Struthio camelus: one gene and its partner. The protein of the gene in region 1 interacts with the protein of each later gene in a biochemical or structural test. Links are inferred from orthologs where the notes say so. Each region holds a gene or a part of one and is shown in the gene's direction. Other genes may lie near its edges. The genes, in order: SH3GL2 and SYNJ1.

Region 1 (9,458 bases):
AAACATGCTGTCAGAAAAGGCTCTTGCTAGCTAAAAGAAACAAAAAATGCTTGTTAGCAAGGTACTATGGAAAGAACAGATACCTTGGTTTCTGTTGAGCACTGTGACAAAAAGCCCACAGTGAGTTAACAAACACATGCTGTGGAAGTTTACCTTCAGAGGATTAGTACTGCAGCCAGTTAGGCTTTGCATACTTCATAAAGAAGAACTCTTTCATTTTATAGGAAACCTGAGCTGTTAACCATCCATTTATTTATTGTGTTTGGAAGAGCAATAGCACTTGAGTGCTAGATACAAAGCTTTTTATCTTTTTTTTGGGAGGTGTGTGTGTATGTGAAATGAAATGGCTCCTGTAATTCAAACCAGTGGAAGTCATTTATGTCCTGCTTCTCTTCGTATTAGATAGTTCTGTCTTCCACTGCTCCGAACTTTTTCCCTGTATTTTGTGTGTTTCTACCTTCAGAAGCTGCCAGGATAGTTCCTCTTTAGCAGAGGAATTAATTTTTTGAGAGATAAAGAATTTTTTTTTGTTTTCTTTGCGTCTTGCAGTTGTATGTTCCATGCCCATGCTGATGGCCTTTCTTACTCTTTTTTTGAATTAAGCATTGGTTTATGTACATAAGATTATTCTGTGCCTGCTGATTTACATTCTCTGGATTCTCCCGTCTTTGCTAGATCACCTGTTGCAGAGTAGCTCAATGGATTAGATGTTGAAAGAGGACTTTGATATTTAAGTTTCAGTTTCTGTCTGAGCTACACAGTTCCTGAACAACTGTGCATGACTGACTAAATAGACCCTGGACCTTGGATTCCCATAAGTTTCTCATAAGGTCCTTATCACAGCACCATACGTACCTTTGTAAATATACAAATTCTTCCCCAGTGAATGAAGATTTAAGTACATTTTGGTATTTAGAAATTACTTATTTAAAAAAGTAGTATTCATAAAGCCTGATAGTTTCTTTTTAATTACATTGACCTTAGGCTTTCAATATGCTTATGTTATCTAAGTGCTGAATACAGTGTTTTGCTTTCACTGAGGATTTTTCAGGAATCTAGAATGCCAGGAGAATCATATTCTCCTGGAATTTGTATCTGAATTCTCTGACTCAAGCACATTTTCCTAAAGTTCTCCTTTCATTTGTGGCACAATCTTTCACGGGCAACTTATTAAGGGATTTTTACTATGCCTTATGTCCCTTAGCACTGTTGAAAATATTAGCTAGTTGAATCAAAAAAAAAACTTTCTGAAATGGAGCTTGTATCAAAAACATATAGGTCAAATTCTTCAGGATCTACTGAGATTAATTAGAATTTTTCCATGTATTTCACACAATGACCTTCAGACTGTACCACCTCGCACAATAATAACATATAGTTTCTTAAAGAGATATTCAGCTTGCTCAGAATTTGGATGAGAGATTTGCAAAGTAAACTCAGGACACTGTAGCGGCATTCTTCCTTATGACTGGAGTTTCCCAGTATGAGTTAGTGAATGCTGCTGCAGATTTAGTTCTTATTGGCTTTAGAGCTCTGTCCTGAGCAGTAGAGTTGCAATTTTAGATTATCTCATTTATGAAAAGACTTACAACAATCTGGGGGCCATTTGATCCCATGTCACTGCTGGAAGGTCCCTACATTTTTATCTCTAAGACCTTAACAGACCTTTCATCTGTAAATATCGAGGTCTTCTAGAGCTTTGCTATGCCTCTTCATCTCTAGACAATGGAAATTAGATCAAAACTCAGATCCCTGTGGATGACCTAGCTGTGTTGCCCCTTGACTCCCTCTATGTAAAATGGATATAAATTCCTTTGAGTGAAATATGAAGGAAAATTTGAGAATTAAGCTAAGAATGGCCAGAAAATATGACTGAAACATCACTGGAAGGGAATGAAATGAAGATTTAGGGAAAATAAATAGGCATGTTTAGTATGTCCTTGCTTGGATGAAGTTAACAGAAGCAGTAGATGGAAATCAAGTTGCAAACTGAACAGGAACAGTTCTAGATTGTGTGTTAAAGGAAATATTGTTTATAGTCATGTTCAAGTGGTGCATAAAATTAATGGAAAACTTGTTCTGCTATCAGACTTTAGATTAACACCGTACAAGGGTGCAAATTGTTGCTACAACATCAAGAATTTATATTATAACTTAGACAGAGAGCCAGAAAGGACTCTTCACCACATTTTGCTGAGTAATGTAGTCTAGACGACTGGGTTAAGATATGGTTTTCAGAAGTGTGGTATCCTATTAACTCTGGTTATGTTCACTTGCTAATGTTTCTGAAAATGTTTTCTGATAATGTTTCTTGAATTAGGATCTTAACATTTGAACTACCCTGAATTAATTGTTGCTTTGAAGATCTAGTAGGGGATTTTAGGGGGAGTGGGAAGGCTGTTTTTTGCTTGTATGCTTTTTTGCTTTCTTTAAAAAACTGAAGAGAGCAGTCAAGGAATAGTTTGTTAGTAAATGATTGGGCAACTGGTGGAATAGAGAGGGATACTGTTATTCTAAAATCTTCAGAACGATATTATCATGTAGATTAATAAAAGTGCTTCTTGTACGATCATGATTGAACTATCAGTATTTACAAAATCATATTACAACTCTTCATGAATCAAAATAGTAATTATTTCTGACACATATGGGGAATCTCCTATATGTTACTGCCCATTGTACTTGCACAATAGGTTTAAGTTAATAAAGATTTTTTTGTTAAAATCATCAGATAATGACGAATAATAAATACAAATATATTAATACAAATTATTAAGTACATGATATATTTTATATATTTATACTAATAAATACTGCTAGAAGTAGCAGGCAGTTCTAAACTTACAGAATGGACCTTATTTTATAGAATAAGACTGATTGATTAACAACTAAAAATTGTAATGTATATGCGTGAAAGAGGACCGGGATTGCAACTACAAAGGTACTTACCGCATTTTGCTATTGCTCGGGTATGCAGCCATGACATTTTCTTTGTTCTTTTCTATTATTAGAATTTTTAGTTGGCATAAGAAATAAAATGAAGTGCTTAGCCTATTACATGTCTTTGTGTCGAAATGGCATTTGCAGTTGGTATATGTATAGTGCATAAATATGTATATATTACAAAATGTGAGACTGTACATTATAAACAACTATCATTTGTTATAGTTTACTGTGGTTTATAAAAAAAAAAATCATCTTCCTGAAGCTGATTCCAAGCGTTATTCATGTAGATTGCTCCAAGAAAAGAAGTCACAAGTGAATGATATACTGGACTGAAGAGCAGATATAAAATGAAGTTCTTATTCTCTGGCTGACAAGTATCACAATTTAATTTAGTCAAAGCGGTTGTAACTCCATGGACATGGACACATATAAATCTTGTTTTAATACTAGCATGTTCCACTCCCAGGAATATAGATGCTCTAAAAAAAAGCGTAAGCACAGTCAGAAGTGTAAGATTGGGCTGTGAGAATCCATGTGCGCAAAACCACCACCATAAGGTGAGTCAGGGCATCCAGCTACTGTTTGGGATGATTTTCAGATGGGCAACATACTAGTAATTCCAATCAACACTCACTGTGAGCTGCGGGGGCATAACACTTTTGAAAATGAAGCGCTCTGTCTCCAGCTTATCACCTAAAACCTGAAAGTGGTGGACCCCTCATAGGCCCACATTGTCTCTTATTTAGTCTCTTATTCATTTATCATATAAAATGTTTATCACACAAGAAAGTACTTTTCTGCCATACCACTGGCAGCCTTCAGATCCTGAAATTTAACCATTTTATTTCAGTTACCGCATAACAGAGGAAAAATATTGTTCATTTCATATGTTTATTTTATATAAATAAATAATATTACACCATTTCTAGTTCTCATAGGTCTATTTTCTACCTCTTGCTGTACTTGCAGACTACAGAGCCCTGTCCCAAGAACTATGCACAACATGAGTTTTCTGTTAAAGGCACAACGGCTAGTGCAAGAAACTCCCAGTCCGGACCTTGAAATTCCAGATAGTCTCACTTTTCAACCTCTAAAATCACATTAATACTAAAGTGAATGCAAGCGCTTCTTCTGCTCCGCGTGTATTTGGGACCAGGCCAGAAGGTGGTGCCTACTTGCCCATGGCAAGGCTATCACAGTTTCCCACTCTCTGATGAGCAGAGCAATGTTCTTGGTTTGTCTTTCTTCCTGATGAAAGCCCTCTGGTAACGATCCAAATGCACCAATGGGACTTTGGTGTCCAAGATCCCGCCCGTCGCTGTAAGACACTCATAAGAACAGCAATAAGTCACTACATCCCTGTGATCGAGAGGCGTCGCGTTGTCCCTGGACCCAGGTATGTGGCCCAGCTGCTTCCCCACACCCCGCAGAGCGGAGGCCGTACGTGGGACCGGACGGTGCTCCAGTGCACCTCTCCTCGGTGCCGGTCACGGGACCGAGCGCGTGAGGTACACCACGGTGAGTCCACGTACAGCTTAGAAACAGCTTTCAGTGCTTCTGAAAATGTGTTTGCTGCCTAACTAGCTCGTGTTGAATCTTTGTAGTAACAGAATTACAAAGCCAACACAGCATGGCTTCTTTCGCCCAGCTGATAAAACATGAGTTTTGTGCAAGTGCTCATCTCTAGTCGGGTAACGGCAACACACATATGCAGGGACTGGTCCAGCCTGCAGAGAGCATTTGGATCACATTGCTCACATTGTTTAGGCTTTTGCTGGCATAACCCGATCAATCTTAACTATTGCTCTGTTAGCGCTTATAATCTACAGGACTGAATTGCTGAAGTACAGGATATTGACTTTTTTCTGGCTGTGCGGGTTTTCGCTTCGAGCCAGTACCCGTACCAGCAGGTCAGAATAGGCAGGCTTTAGATTTGCGCTCCCACATGTCACTCGGACGTTGTGAAGGGGCAAGAAAAGGGGGGACCCCGGTGAGCCAGCGTTAGACCACAGTCAGTGGCCGGAGCGTTGCCTGGCCAAGGCCAACCAGGCCCGAGGACGGCAGCCTGGTGTGGCCAGCCGGACCACGCTCATTGCCCGCCCGCCTTTTCGCGTGACTGCCCCGTCCTCCCCCTCGCCGCGGGCTCATTTCCACGCAGGACGCCGCGGCGGCGAGGCGCGGACGCCGCCGGCCGTTAGAGCGCGGGGACGGGGGGGAGGGGCGCGGGGGGGGGGGGCAGGGCGTCCCCGCTCGCCCTTTAAAGGGCCGCGCGCGGCCGGCCCTGACGTCACGGCGCCCCGCACCGCGGCCGCCGCCTGAGAGGCTCCGCGGGCGCGCGGCTGGCGCGGCGCGCGCGGGGGCAGCGGGCAGCGGGCAGCGGGCAGCGGGCAGCGGGCAGCGGGCAGCGGGCAGCGGGCAGCGGGCAGCGGGCAGCGGGCAGCGGGCAGCGGGCAGCGGGCAGCGGGCAGCGGGCAGCGGGCAGCGGGCAGCGGGCATCTGGGCTCGGCTCGGCTCGGCTCGGCGCGGGTGCAGCGCGCCGCCCTCGCCATGTCGGTGGCCGGGCTGAAGAAGCAGTTCCACAAGGCGACCCAGGTACGCGGGTGCCAGGCGTGTGCGTGGGGTGCTCGGGTGGTGGCGGTGGCGCGGTTGGCCTCCGGTGCGTGGTGCCCGGCTGGGCGGCGTGCAGGGAGGGCAGCGCAGGATGTGTGGGGCTGCGCGGGTGTGCAGGCTGTGCGGGGGAGGAGGCTGCGCGGCTGTGCACGGGGGTGCAGGGTGCGTGAAGATGCTTGGGTGTGCATAGGTGAACACGGGTGTGCGTGGGTATGCATGAGTGTGCACGGGGGTGTGTGCTGTGCATGGGTGTGTGTGGGTATGCATGCGTGTGCTGTGTGGGTGTGTATGAGTGTGTGTGAGAGCACGGGTGTGTTGTGGGTATGCATGAGTGTGAATGGTGTGCGGGTGTGCATGGAGGTGCATTGTCCACTAGTGTGCATGGTGTGTGTGTGTGGGTATGCATGGAGGTGCATTGTGCATGGGTGTGTGGGGGTGTGCATAGGTGTGCACAGGTGTGTGCTATGTGTGGGTGAGCACAAGTGTGCATGGGTGTGTTTGTGTGGGTATGCATGGGGGTGCACAGTGCATGGGTATGTGTGGTGTATAAGTGCCCACCAGTGGGTGTGAGTATGCATGGGGGTGCACGGGTGTGAGTGGTGCATGAGTGCACATGGTGTGAGAGTGCACATAAATGTGCAGGTCCTCAGCTGCCCTCTGCCCCCTGGACTTCCCCCCCCCCCCCAGCCCCTTCTAGTGGGGTATGGGAGCCCCAGGAGTGCAGGGGCAGGTCCTGGGCCGGTCTGTAAGGACCGTGCTTATGTGGGGGAACCTCACTGCAGTGGGGCAGCTGTTTGGCAGAGATCCCCACTCAGGCCTTGGACCTCCAGCTTACACTGGCTTCATAAATCAGCAAGAAATGTGCCATGCTTCCTTGCCCTCCCCTTGCCCCCCAGTACAGCCAAAATCTGACTAATACAAGAATGAGTGGAAACTGCGACTTGTCCCTGCCATGTAGTTACACCAACAGCCCTTATGACCATGAGCGCAATGGGATACGTCAGGCTCTGCGTGGGCACACGCGTGCATCAGGTGACATTGTGTCTCAGCTTTCATACCACATTGTGCTGCATTGTTGGTTAAATGCCCTTCACGGAAACCTGCTACACTCATGACACGTGCTGTAAGGTACATCTAGGGCACCTGGGTCCATACTGCAGTGTCTGCTGCTGCTACTACTTCATTTGTTATTTATCCCCATGCTCTCTAGTGCTATTAGAAGCCAGGGAATCATCTTGTACCTAAAATAAGAATTGCAGGATCTGTGTCAGCCCTGTTTAAGAAGCAGGCAAACTGAAGTACACTTTTTAAAATAACGTCAGCTACTTATTCTCCTTTATTTAAGTTATTAAATACGCCTGCAAAGCAGCAGGGGTAAACTCTTTTTTGGACAGAGCACACTGTAAAAGCTGTGTGCATACTGGTCTATCCTTCAGATGACACTCTTGCACTGACTGCCGGGATTCATTTTAGCAGCAGTAGTGTCATTTGGAAGGAGAAAGAGTTTAACTGATTGGAACCAAAACTGTAAAATTCTGAGGCCAAATTTAGCAGCCTGACATCAGATGACCTACGGATTTTTGGGCCCAGCCTTGACTTTCACAGATTATGTGTACACAGGCCACAAAGACACATTCATGTATGAAAATGACTCACAAATAAGGTTGCAAAACTGGCCTGCTTATTGGCTTGTTTTCAGTGTGAGTGAGAAATCAAGGGCTCAGTCCTGCTGACCTTGCTCTAGGGAGTAATCCTTATGACTAGGGATTAATCTCTATGTGGAATGTGGATTGATTTTTGCCAGTACAAGTGAAGCTTTCTAGATAAGACAAAAGAACTGATTCAAAGTTTTAGAAATTCCAAGTCATTTCCTTGGTTCTTATTCACATTAAAATTCCAACTAATGTGTCATAATGTAGCCCTAAATCATACAGGGAACAACTTCAAGTTGTTTCTGAGGTTGCTGTGTTCTTTAGACTGATTTAGCCTTCTGCAGACCTTGGTTTGGTTTCTATTGTTAATGTCATTATTCTTGTTGTAACATTAGTATGCCATATACATACAGACTTCATGATTATCAGTGTATAATAGTATTATTGCAAAATATAGTTCCCATCAAAAATACAAAGACTGCTGGCACTATTAAATACTGATGTTCTGTTTTTAACTAGAAGTCATGTAGCAGGACAGGAAGTTCAAGCCTGACAAATTCCTTGCAACAGTGGCAATAGCACTAAGTCATTGCAAAGCAGGAGGAGACTTTGCTTCTTCTAGAATGAATGGAGTATTCACAACACTAATGGCTTTACCTTGATGCAGCACCATCAAGTTCAGAGGAAGTACTCCTGAGTTTGTAGAAGTAAAGAGAAGCCAGGAACTATTTCTACGGGTTTGTCTGTAGTTTTAAGAACAGTTGAGTAGTTTTGGATGGTACAGATTTCAGTGTAGGGCATTTGGAGAGAGTTATTTTAAAATTGCATGAGCTTTGTTTCCACGTGACTACATTCATCACAAAATATGGCATTTGGGAGGCATATTCAAAACTAAACACTCACAACGTAATGATTCTGTAGGGAAAGAAATGATTCTGTAGGGAAAGAAATGAACAAAAACCTTGGGAATGGCCATGACCAGGATTCCCCTGGGAACCAGTGATTGATGCTTAAATAGCAATCTGAATGGAATGATTTGACTCAAAAGGCCTGGACTGCAATTTTACCTGGGCTTCTACCTTTGTATTTTGCTTTTTTGATACAACATGATTTAATTTAATTGGTTTTAACCAAGGTAGAAGTCAAATGCATAGGTATTTTTATGGAAAACCCAGGATTCTTACTGGAAGAAACAGCTGAAGAAAAGACTTCCAGTGGGTCATCAGGAGCTTGTTACATGCCCAGCCTTTCAGATGGAGAGTAACGTGCTTCCCTGTTTAACAAGGCAGCCTATGAAGTACACAGTAAGAGATTAAAAGAATAACCCTAGTCTTTAATAAGAAGCAAATGAGGCTCCAGTCCTACTATGCTATTACCCAGGTAGTAAAAATCCTTAAGGCTTCAAAGGGATTCTGGGCTAATTCAAATCTTTCTGCCCACCTAAGTTCATTTGCAAGAAGAGTGTATTAGTGATGAGGCAGAGGTTGAAAGTCATGGGTGTTTATACATGTAGTGTAGTAATAGTGTCCTCAAAGAGGGTCTGCTGATTAGCAGGATCCAGGAAAGGTCCTGAGTGTATGCATCACCAAAGACTTGTGAGTAGTTTCAAAGAAATCAAAGGGAATATAAGTATGATTGAAGTTCATCTCTTGATGAACGCTTTTGTAGACTATCATTCATCTAGCCAAGTATTTCTTAAGTTATCTTGTGTGACTACAAAGAGGGCCAGAGAAGGTCGAATACCAGCATAGAGAGACACTCAAGGTTCATGAGGGGTTAAACAGGGTAGATTTAATGAAGGACTTACTCTCCAAGCTGCACGGGGACCCCAGGGAGCCACGTGGAGGGGTCGCTGAGGGGAAGTTGCTGGACGCGTGGTTTGGATACCTAGGCGAGACTCAACATCTTGCATCCTAAGGGCCCCTTAAATCTGCTAGAACTCTTTCCTTATCTCAGCTGTGCCAACCTTGAGAGACTGCTGTCCGGGCAGCAGCGAGACTTTGTTGACAGAACGGAATACGCGTGGCTGGCCCTGATGGGCATGTGGGCAGCGCGTGGCTTCACACACGGGGCCTGCTACCACGTACTCTGCCAGGCACTGACTCCTCGCCAGCTCTTCCGCAGGTGTGCTCACCACGCTTTGGCAGAAGAATGTATAATTTCTTTTTATATTCTTTACGGGGGGTAAAGTAATACTCCTTTATGCACATTTTCTACACTTGCTGAATTCTCAAAATACAGCTAACCGAT
Region 2 (9,345 bases), on another chromosome or scaffold:
CTCTGTATAAATGGTTACAGTTGTATAGGTACTTAGACTTTATGTAAATAATGTTATCAAATTATATTTACAAATTCCACTTTTACTTCTCCTACTGCTTCTTACCTGTATCTTATTTATTGACCCAAATCTTAGGAGCAAAGCAGTCATACTTTATGTAATGATCTTTAAGTAATGTTACACAATTGTTTCTGGATTGAGGTATAATCCAAGGACAACTGCTTTAAAATTACTTCTCCCACAGTTGACCATGTATATCTTACTGTTCAATATCAGAATTGACAAATAATTACAACATGTTATACATGGATGTACTAGATGATGAGAGCTTGTGAGAACTACTAACATACTAAGGGACATGACAATCTTATTTCCACTCAAAACTCCATAGGGACTCTTGAGAAAGTCCAGTACTCCCTTTAGTAGTGACCACCGTTGTCTAGAACAGGAAATATGTTCAATGTGTAAGAAAATACAGCAGGTAAAACATTCAATCATTCTGAAATTTTGATGAACAGGACAATATATTACAGAATGCTTACAGGTATTTGGAATTCCTGTGGTGTGCCCTAAAGGTTATCAGTAGCAAAGGAAAAAATCTTGTCCTTTCCTATAAAGGAAAACAAAATGAAAGCTGAAATTTGAAATGGAGAAGTTTGTAGAAAAAATGTGCAGATAAGTGGATGTGTGTGATTCCTCTTTCTCCTCTCTTGAGATGCATCTCTTTCTGCACAAGTTTGCTCATCTCCAGTTCTGCTTTCAGTTCTCTCTAAGTTATTCTACAAAAACTTTTTTGAAAGAATCCTGAATATATACACCGAGGGGAGGAGAGATTTGTACCTGCAGCTTTGATGTGATGTATGGCTTTGGTATAATGACTTTGTGAGGTTTGTTGCAATATGCTGAACTCTATGTCCTTATGAATGATGATGCTTAAAAGTAGTATCCCTGTCATCCTAAGTTTATTAGTTGCCCCTATGAAAATAAAATATCCTAGAATCAGTGTTGTAAAAGGGTGTGAAATGAACAATACAGTTGATCTGACCATTGGCCTTTACATGTATAGTCACAAGCAAGACATTCCTGTGAGAGCCACCATTAAGTGGAATGTAGAGAAAAGAGAACTCTGAGGAGGCTTCAAAAAATCTTTGTTGCATGACGTGGAATGGTTCTGTTTTCTGAGAAACTCAGATAAATGAAACAAAGTGAATGGAGCACTTTGCTAAGAGTTGAGCACTTCTGCCCTGGATTTGGTACTCCAAGTAAAAATGTTTTGATAGCTGTAGAATTGTTAGTTGAATTTGTCTGAAATAACATAGTGGGGTTTTTGTTGTTGTTTGTTTTTTGTACAAGAGTTCTTAATTTCTGTATGTAACTATAACTCTTGCCCTAAATATCCAAAAAAAAAAGTGAATGGGTGCAAGATAACTGCATAGAGACACACTGAATACAAAGGCCTACAATTTAAGTCTCTGCTCCCAACAATCACTTAAACATATGTTTTTGTTCAATACGTGAATGGTCCTATTCACTCCACTTGCATTACTTTTGTGCACAATGTGCGTGTCTAAATGTTTTTATAGATCAGAGCCCAGAAGTAAAGCAGAGATATATCTCCCAAGATCTCATGTGGTATTTTCCATACATACTTAGGCCCAAATTTTCACCGCCTAAATCTCACACACATTCTTGAGAGTTTTCTGTTTGCTGTCTTCAGCCTTTTGTGATACCTAGCTAACAGAAAACATTAGGCGCAAAACTCTTAAGTGGAGCGTAGGTTGTTTGACTACAGGGCTCAGGCATTCTGGGGACACGTAGCTTAAAATCACACTTAACTTACTTATTACCATTTTACCCAAAAGCTCCAATCAGGATATGGCATTCATTGAAGTGAAGATGCTGAAACTATCATATACACACGTGGTTACTTTCTCAAGTAACAGGCTAACAGTTCAGAGAACCTGCATCCATGAACACATGAGGGATATAGCATACTCAGCTTTAAAGATTTAATGAGCAGGAGGAGTTTGCAGGAATGAGGCCTGTGATACGTGTTAGGAAGGAGATGCAAATTAAATGTAATTTGGAAGCTTTAATGTATTTGTTGTTGAAGTGCCAATTTAATTATGTACAGCACCACAGATGACCTTGAGGAAAAAGGTGTTTTGAACACTGTGTGGCATGGCAAAAATAGCCAATGGTGTCGCTGCCAGCTGTGTGTTTGCCAAGGCACTGGAGTGCTGGGCTGCTGCTGCTGCCAAGGGGAAAGGTGGGGTATGTGAAATGGCAGCTATTGCTGGGGCTGAGGCTGTCTCTCCCCATGTGTTGCAGTGGCTATGCCCTACTCCACATTTTGCAGGAGGAGCTGCAAGCCTGGCTTCCTAGAAATCTTCCTCTTCCCTTTTCTCCACCCTTTTAAGTATCCTCGTTCTGCCTTTACATATGTCTTCCTTGTGACAAAAGCAGTACGGCCCTGGGCTTCCTCATCTTTCTGGACACCATAGGTAAATCTTGCCTATGTTGCTGAGAAGCCTTGAGCCAATTCCACTTTCAGACACCAAGGAAGTTTTAAATAGGCTGTACTGTGAAGCCCATTGAAGTCAACCAAGAAGTTTCCATTGGAATCAAAGTGGATATGACTTTGTCCTTTAAGGGCCATTCTGGAGGTGAGGGCGTCATATCATTTTGACGAAACGTAACGGATGGCGAAAGCCAAGCTTTCATCCTGCTTTAGTGTCCAGCTTTGCACAGTATTAGCAACCCTAACAGATGACTGAGGCAAGGCTTAGAAATGAAGAAGTTCATTGAAAATGTCATGCCGCGCTCCCATCTTAATCATGCTTAAAGAATGTAGAATTTGCAACAAAGTACCCAAATAAAAAAGCACCCAAAGAAAACACTCATCTGCAATCCGCTTTAAATTACTATAATTTTTTTCACAGCTTTTAGCTGATGTTTTTGTACATAATCCTAAATCCTAATCAGAAAATATTTTATATTACCATGTAGCAAAATATCTCTGGCCATATGCAAAAAAAACAGCCCATCTGCATTTCTTTTATCTGCAGAAAAAGAAGTAAATATATCTAATGCATGAATTGTTTTAGCCTATCAATAGATATCAATTTAGCCATCAGTGTATGTTGTAAAACAACACTTAATTTACTGTCATGGTTAATGATCTTTATGAATGGATAAAATGAGGATAAACTTTCTTTGCTTCCACAGCAGCCACTTTGTTGTTCTCTTTTATTTTTACATTCTCGTTAGTAAAAGTTTCATGAGTTTATGTTTATTCATGCTATGCTAGAGATAGTTTTAATGTCTACCACGAGCAACTGAGAGATGTCTTCTGCACAAGCTGTAATAAGTTATTAGCAATTATGCACTAATTTCAGAAATCATGAAACTCATTTTAAAATATTTTTAAAATACAGTATTTTGATCATCTATAGAACATTTATACGGGGGTTGTCATAATGTGCATAGGAAGGTAGTCAACTAAAAATACACAAACAGTACTTACACTATATCTAACATCACAAATATTTTCTCTGCTTTGTGTTCTGAGCCACTAGATAGTATATTCCACTCAACTGGAACTTATCCCATAACAAATATATGGGATATGTCATATTTAAATATAAAAAGGCCATGCATACAATCTACTGCCTCTTTAGAATAGACTAGAGCTATTTTGGATGCAGATTTCAAACCTATTTTCAGAGTTTTAACATAAAATTTGTAAGAAAAAAAGGTCTTTTAGTTTTAAGAGTCTAAACTTTGTTAAGGGAATTGATCTTGGACAAGAAGGTAGTGCAGAAATGCTACAATCCGAAATGAAAGGTGGCCCAGCTTTGGTCACTAAGTCCTTCTAGGGTAGACAGTTACAGTATTTCACTCACTTCCATTTATGCATATTCTTCAATCTCCAAATAATAGTCTCAGTGAAGGGAGTTTCTACACAGTTTTACTGATTTTTTTCTACCTCAGCTCTCCATTCAAACTTATCCTGGCCTCAGCTTTGTCTCAAGCACAGAGTATCCCCACTTCTCTTGATTTTAGCATAGCTCTCAAGCCTGCTGTCATCTGCTCAGCAGCTTGTAACGTATCAACACAATATAGTGAAGCAGTACTCCTCCACTAAAAGGCTGCAGCGGCTGGATGGAAATTTCCAAAGAGATGTTTAACGTCTGTACCTAAAACTTTTGAAGCTTGTCAGAAAAATGCAGGCTTTAGCCATGGTTCAGTGTTCCTACCCTACCAACAGTGCTCGGAGAGCACTGGCACTGACACTTCTGTGCCCATGGCACATTTTGTGCAGGGAGGTTTTTCTGTTTGTGTCACTACTCATGAGCCTATCTGAAACATTTTTCTCTCTGCTGCATCTCTAATAAACACACAACAGAGTCTGGGGACTGATCGTGTTTCAAAGCAGCCTCACTATGACCCCACTGCATGCTCCGTTTTCAACTTTCATGTTGGCAATCCAGCATTGGCTTATGACCATGCAAAAGAAGAATTTCTCCGGAGGGCTCTCTAGTTCCTTTTTCCTAAGGAACTAGGTTTCTTCAGGCTGAACCACCACACTAGGCAGGGCTTGCCCGGCTGGCGCTGTGCTTGGTAATGCTCTGCACAGGTTTAGCCCGCCCCTGCTTTAGAGGGCACAGGGCCTTCGCAACGGATGTCACTCACAAGGACGCAGGTCTGACACAGGCTCCCTCCAGCTCCATACCGCTGCTCCCACCGTGGCGCCTCAAGCAGCAGCTCCCCGTGCTGGCAGGCCCGAGGCTGGGGGGTGCGAGGTGACACAGGAAAACACCGCAGTGACAACGGCCGCGCCCGGACCCGCTAGGCAACGAGGTAAGGACCGAGCAGCCAGCACCCCTCACCCTAACCTGCAGCCCGCCGGCGGCGGCTCCCTCACCGGCCAGCCCGGGCGCCTCAGCAAACCTTTCTTCCCCACACCTGCCTGCCTGCCTGCCCCGACGGCTGCCGCAACGGCCGCCGCGGCGGCGCTGCAACGGCCGCCCGCGAGGCTCGCGCCCCCCCGGCCCCGCCCCTCTCCACGCCCTCTGCCGCCTTCCGGCCGCGGGAGGCGCAGTGCGGAAGGGACGCGGCGGGGCCGGAGCGGAAGTGAGGTGCCGCCGGCTCCCCCGGCGCGGAGCGGAGCGGGCGGCCACAGCGGCGGCGGCAGCAGCAGCAGGTGGCGCGGCCGGTGAGGGGGGCGCGGACGGCAGCGCCGGGACGGGGGTGGCGGGGGAGGGGGCCGCGCCCGTGAGCCAACCGCGGAGCCGGCCCGGCTGCCGCCGCTGCGGAGCTGGGGCCGCCGGGGCGCCGGCGGCGGCAGACAAGATGGAGGCGGCTCTGTCAGCGCCGCGGGGGCCGGGGAGGGGCTGCGCGCACGGTGCCCGGCTCCGCTGGGACGATGGGGGGGGGCGGCGGCGGCTGGTGTCCTCGTCCCTGCTGCCCGCCAAGGGAAGGGCGGCGGGGCCCCGGGGCGGGGGAGGATGGAGAGGGGTCAGCAGCTTGTTCCGTGTTGGAGGCGCAAAGTCCGTGTGGCCGTCCGGCGCAGAGGTTACCGGCGCTGAGCTCAAGGGAAGGAACAGGGCAGGAAACGCGCTCCCGGCTTCCAGCAGAAGCCTCCCTTCGTCATCTCTTTGCTCAGCTTAAGCCCTTAAAATTTGGCTCCTTGTGTGTTTCCTTAGTAGCCTAAGCCCTTAAAAATCTGCCCCGTCCCTCTGTTCTTTATGGTTTCTTCTTTTTCCCTTTTTATTTTAGAGGAAGCTCTTACCTTTATGGCTTTTAGGCAGTTTCACTAGTACAATACTGCAATGTCTCATTCATTGGCCGCTGCAGGGGAGGGTTTCAAGCCAAACAAAACCCTGCTTTCATTAAAACAACACCAGCAGGCTAACGTTTCTGTTTGATCTTTTAAAACCTCTTAACAGCTTTCCCAATTAAACTTCGCTGTCCTTTTGTACAAGGTCAGCATCAGTAAAGTTGTTGCAAAATTTGAAGCCTGCCCAGGCTTCTGGTCCCCTTCGTTCAACATTTAGCATATGAGTAAGACAGTTGTTCTGTGTTTGTGGAGACTAGAGGAGAATCGTGTTTTCTGTTCTTCTAATAAATCATGTTTGTTAAATATCATGAAAGAAATTCAAGTTGTCTCAGAGAAGCTTTTAAATAAACCTTCTGGAGTTTATTTATATGTCGATAATCACGTTCTTGAAACATGGTTATGTTGTCTTTAATTATTCCTTATATACCCTTGGAATATGAGATTAAAAAAAAAAAGCCTCATGAGGTAAAAAGAATGAGCGTGACACCTTTTTTATGTTAAACCCATACATTTCTTAGGAAAGGATGGAAGTCAGACCTGCTTTGCAGAAGGTATCCGGAAGCACAAGAAGCTTTCACTAACATCATCTTATGTTGGACAGGACTGCCTCTGATAAAGGCAAAATGGCTTTCAGTAAAGGATACCGTGTCTATCACAAGCTGGATCCACCTCCATTCAGTGTGATAGTGGAAACCAGAAACAGAGAAGAATGTCTCATGTTTGAATCTGGAGCGGTGGCTGTACTCTGTAAGTTGATATGTTTTGATAGCTACAATGTAAAAAGTTGGCTGACTTGATATTTTGTAAGCTATGTGTTTTTTATGTATGGATTATAAACAAGGAACAGCTATTCTGTTTTCTTACTTGCTAATGGTGAGGCTTCTGCTTTAAATGAAATGACAATTTCTTCTCATCTGTTGAGAGAGAATTTTGCACTTTAAATTAGATTTCAACATGAACATTTTTTTCATGTATGCTAAATTTTCTTGTAATAAGTTACAACAACATCTGTTTGTGCCTTTGGTTCAGAACAACTTTATCTGAATACGTGATAGCTCGGTGAAAAGTGAATTCTATATGTTGTACCTCATAATAAAAAGTTCTATGTTCTTAAATGGTATATCATCATAATTTTTATCTCATTTTATGTGATGACATTTTGATGGCTTTTTGATTTTTAGCTTTATTTTGCCCAGTATTTTTTCCCATCATCAGACTTGTTGTATATTAGTTCATCCTGTAATGAAATGAGTATATATTTGGAGCAAGGTGTTCTGCATTGCCAAGTCATTTTTACGTGTTTTCAGTGATAACTGCTTTAAATATTTCTAATAAATTCTTTGGCTTTAAAATTTTTTTTAAATCAGATTTGTAGGAGGACACTAAAATGAGAAGTGCGGAAGAGAACTGTCAAATAGTTAAGGTCTTACAATGTAGTTTGGTTTATATTTTTCAGTAAGGAAAAACTTGATTGCAAAGGGGTTTCCAGGCTTGCATTTGCCTTTTATAGAAGGCTGAGGTACCGTGGATGGGTTTTTTTTTTTTTTTGGAATCAATAACTTTTTTGATGAAAATCAATTGTGATGCCTGTTCATGATTTTCTAGCCTAGCATGCTCAGAAAATGAGAGGCTTGATTCACTGCCTGAAATCTGAGGAGCTCAAAGACACACCTCTCAGGAAGGTGCTCTGGCCTTGAGACTATGGAGTGGGCCGAATGGGGAATGCAATCTTAACAAGGTCTAGCGCTATGCTGCAAAAAAAAAAAAAAAACAAAAAAAAACTAGGGTTCATTAGGCTGAAGGTAGAAAAGTCCCATGGTTAAGTATATGCCTGAGAAAGGTAAATCTCAGGGTTTAATTCCCACCCAATGACTGGATAAAACAGGAACATTTATTAGTGCATGTAAATGTAACAGTTCTGACAGCAGGGATTGATCATAGATTTCCCTATTTCATGTGTGAGTGCCTAACCTGCTGCCCAACTACTCTTACAAGACTCGGTAAGAAACGTGAGTTCCAAAGAAGAGTGGGATTCAAGCTACATTTCCTTTCTTCGGTATTTGCTGTTGGCTCTTGTAGACGTGAATGTGCTCCTTGGCTATGGCATAGTCTTTTCTGAGGCATGTGATTCTCCCTGTGTCCTTTGTAAGGTGCTTAAGAAGTCAGGCTATAGAGTCATTTGTAGTGGACAGGCTATTACAAGCAAATGCTCTCTAGCATACCGCTTAATCTGCATCTTAGTTAATGTGTGATTTGGACTAACTGTGACTAACTGTTAGAGGCCTAGTGATGGGACACACCATTTTGAGGATTGTTTTTTCCTGTTACAGCTGCTTTTTGTGGCATATCTTGTTGACATTGCCAGCGTTATTTTAAAGACATTGTGTAGTGGGCACTGGGTTGTGAGTAAGTGTCCAGTCATAAGACTAGTGAACGGTTGTAGTGAAACAAGGGAAGAGTGTTCCGAAGAATTTTGGAGTATTGGTTTTTAACATGTAGTCAATAATTAGTGCAGATGTTTAAGTTCATTAGAGAGCAATATGTTGAAAATAACTTATTCCTGAAAGTTAGGCTCAATAAAGAAAGCAAGTTTCACTTCTTATAGTATGACTTATATCGCTGGTGGTACCTTGGTGAAGATTCTCTAAAAATTCGAAATCTGTAACCATACTGAAGTTCTGGCCCTCTTCTGTGCCTTGTATTGGTATCAGACAGAGGAACGGGAACCCTGAGGAAGGTCTCCAGTCTCTCTCCTCTACTAGTTAACAGTGTGTTTGTCCTTAGTGTTTTAATTGGCATGTTACAACTTGATAAATATTTATACTTAACTGTAACTAGTTTTCCCGAATATTGTAACCTGAACTTGTAAACTGCTTCTCTCTTTCCATCTGGTGAATGAGCTTATTTTCCTAATGCGTATTAACTTGTGTTGATTTGCTTTAATTTCTTGTTTGCACATAAACTCTTTAGGCACTGAATCATATGTTTTGTTTTGTTTTTTTTATGGTTGAAAGATCATTCATCACTCTCAAGTCATCTTGAACTGACAGAAGAAGGGTAGAGTCCACTTGCTCAGGTGGTTTTCTTCTGCTTGCTATTAGCTCCTGAAATATATTCCTTTTAATACATATTAAAGAAGTACAATTATTAGTGCTTGGGGATGTTTTGTAAACTGCTACTTCTTCGTCTCTTTGGTCATGCCACAGAAACCTGTCGGAAGATTCTAGTCAAGCCTGACAAACTTCTGAATATTTGTACAAACCTAACTTCAAAGCCAAAGTTAATGAAAGACTGGCCCTTTGGGAAAATCCTCAAGATGGTTGTAAAATCTGTCTAAATAGATAGAAAGGTGGCCAAATGAAGTGTGTTCAAATTCAGTACAGTATCATTGCAGAGTATTACAGACACGTGCTATATTTTTTGTTGACCGTGGTAATACTTTTTAGGGTCAACAAAAGCTGACAGTACTCATCTCAAGCTGTTAAGTAATTTTCAAAATATGT

Evidence for each region.
Region 2: the proteins of SH3GL2 (region 1) and SYNJ1 form a complex in vitro, tested with the Homo sapiens proteins (2 studies listed by BioGRID and IntAct, with this or other methods). The link is inferred for Struthio camelus from reciprocal best matches to the Homo sapiens genes SH3GL2 and SYNJ1.

Annotation. Positions count from the first base shown.
Region 1 is NC_090982.1:23,658,157-23,667,614, forward strand, and holds the start of SH3GL2 (endophilin-A1), read left to right. Parts: upstream 1-5,386; 5' UTR 5,387-5,493; coding exon 5,494-5,538; intron 5,539-9,458. UniProt on the Homo sapiens protein: Implicated in synaptic vesicle endocytosis. May recruit other proteins to membranes with high curvature. Required for BDNF-dependent dendrite outgrowth.
Region 2 is NC_090942.1:120,013,751-120,023,095, reverse strand, and holds the start of SYNJ1 (synaptojanin-1), read left to right. Parts: upstream 1-5,100; 5' UTR 5,101-5,218; intron 5,219-6,360; 5' UTR 6,361-6,432; coding exon 6,433-6,589; intron 6,590-9,345. UniProt on the Homo sapiens protein: Phosphatase that acts on various phosphoinositides, including phosphatidylinositol 4-phosphate, phosphatidylinositol (4,5)-bisphosphate and phosphatidylinositol (3,4,5)-trisphosphate. Has a role in clathrin-mediated endocytosis.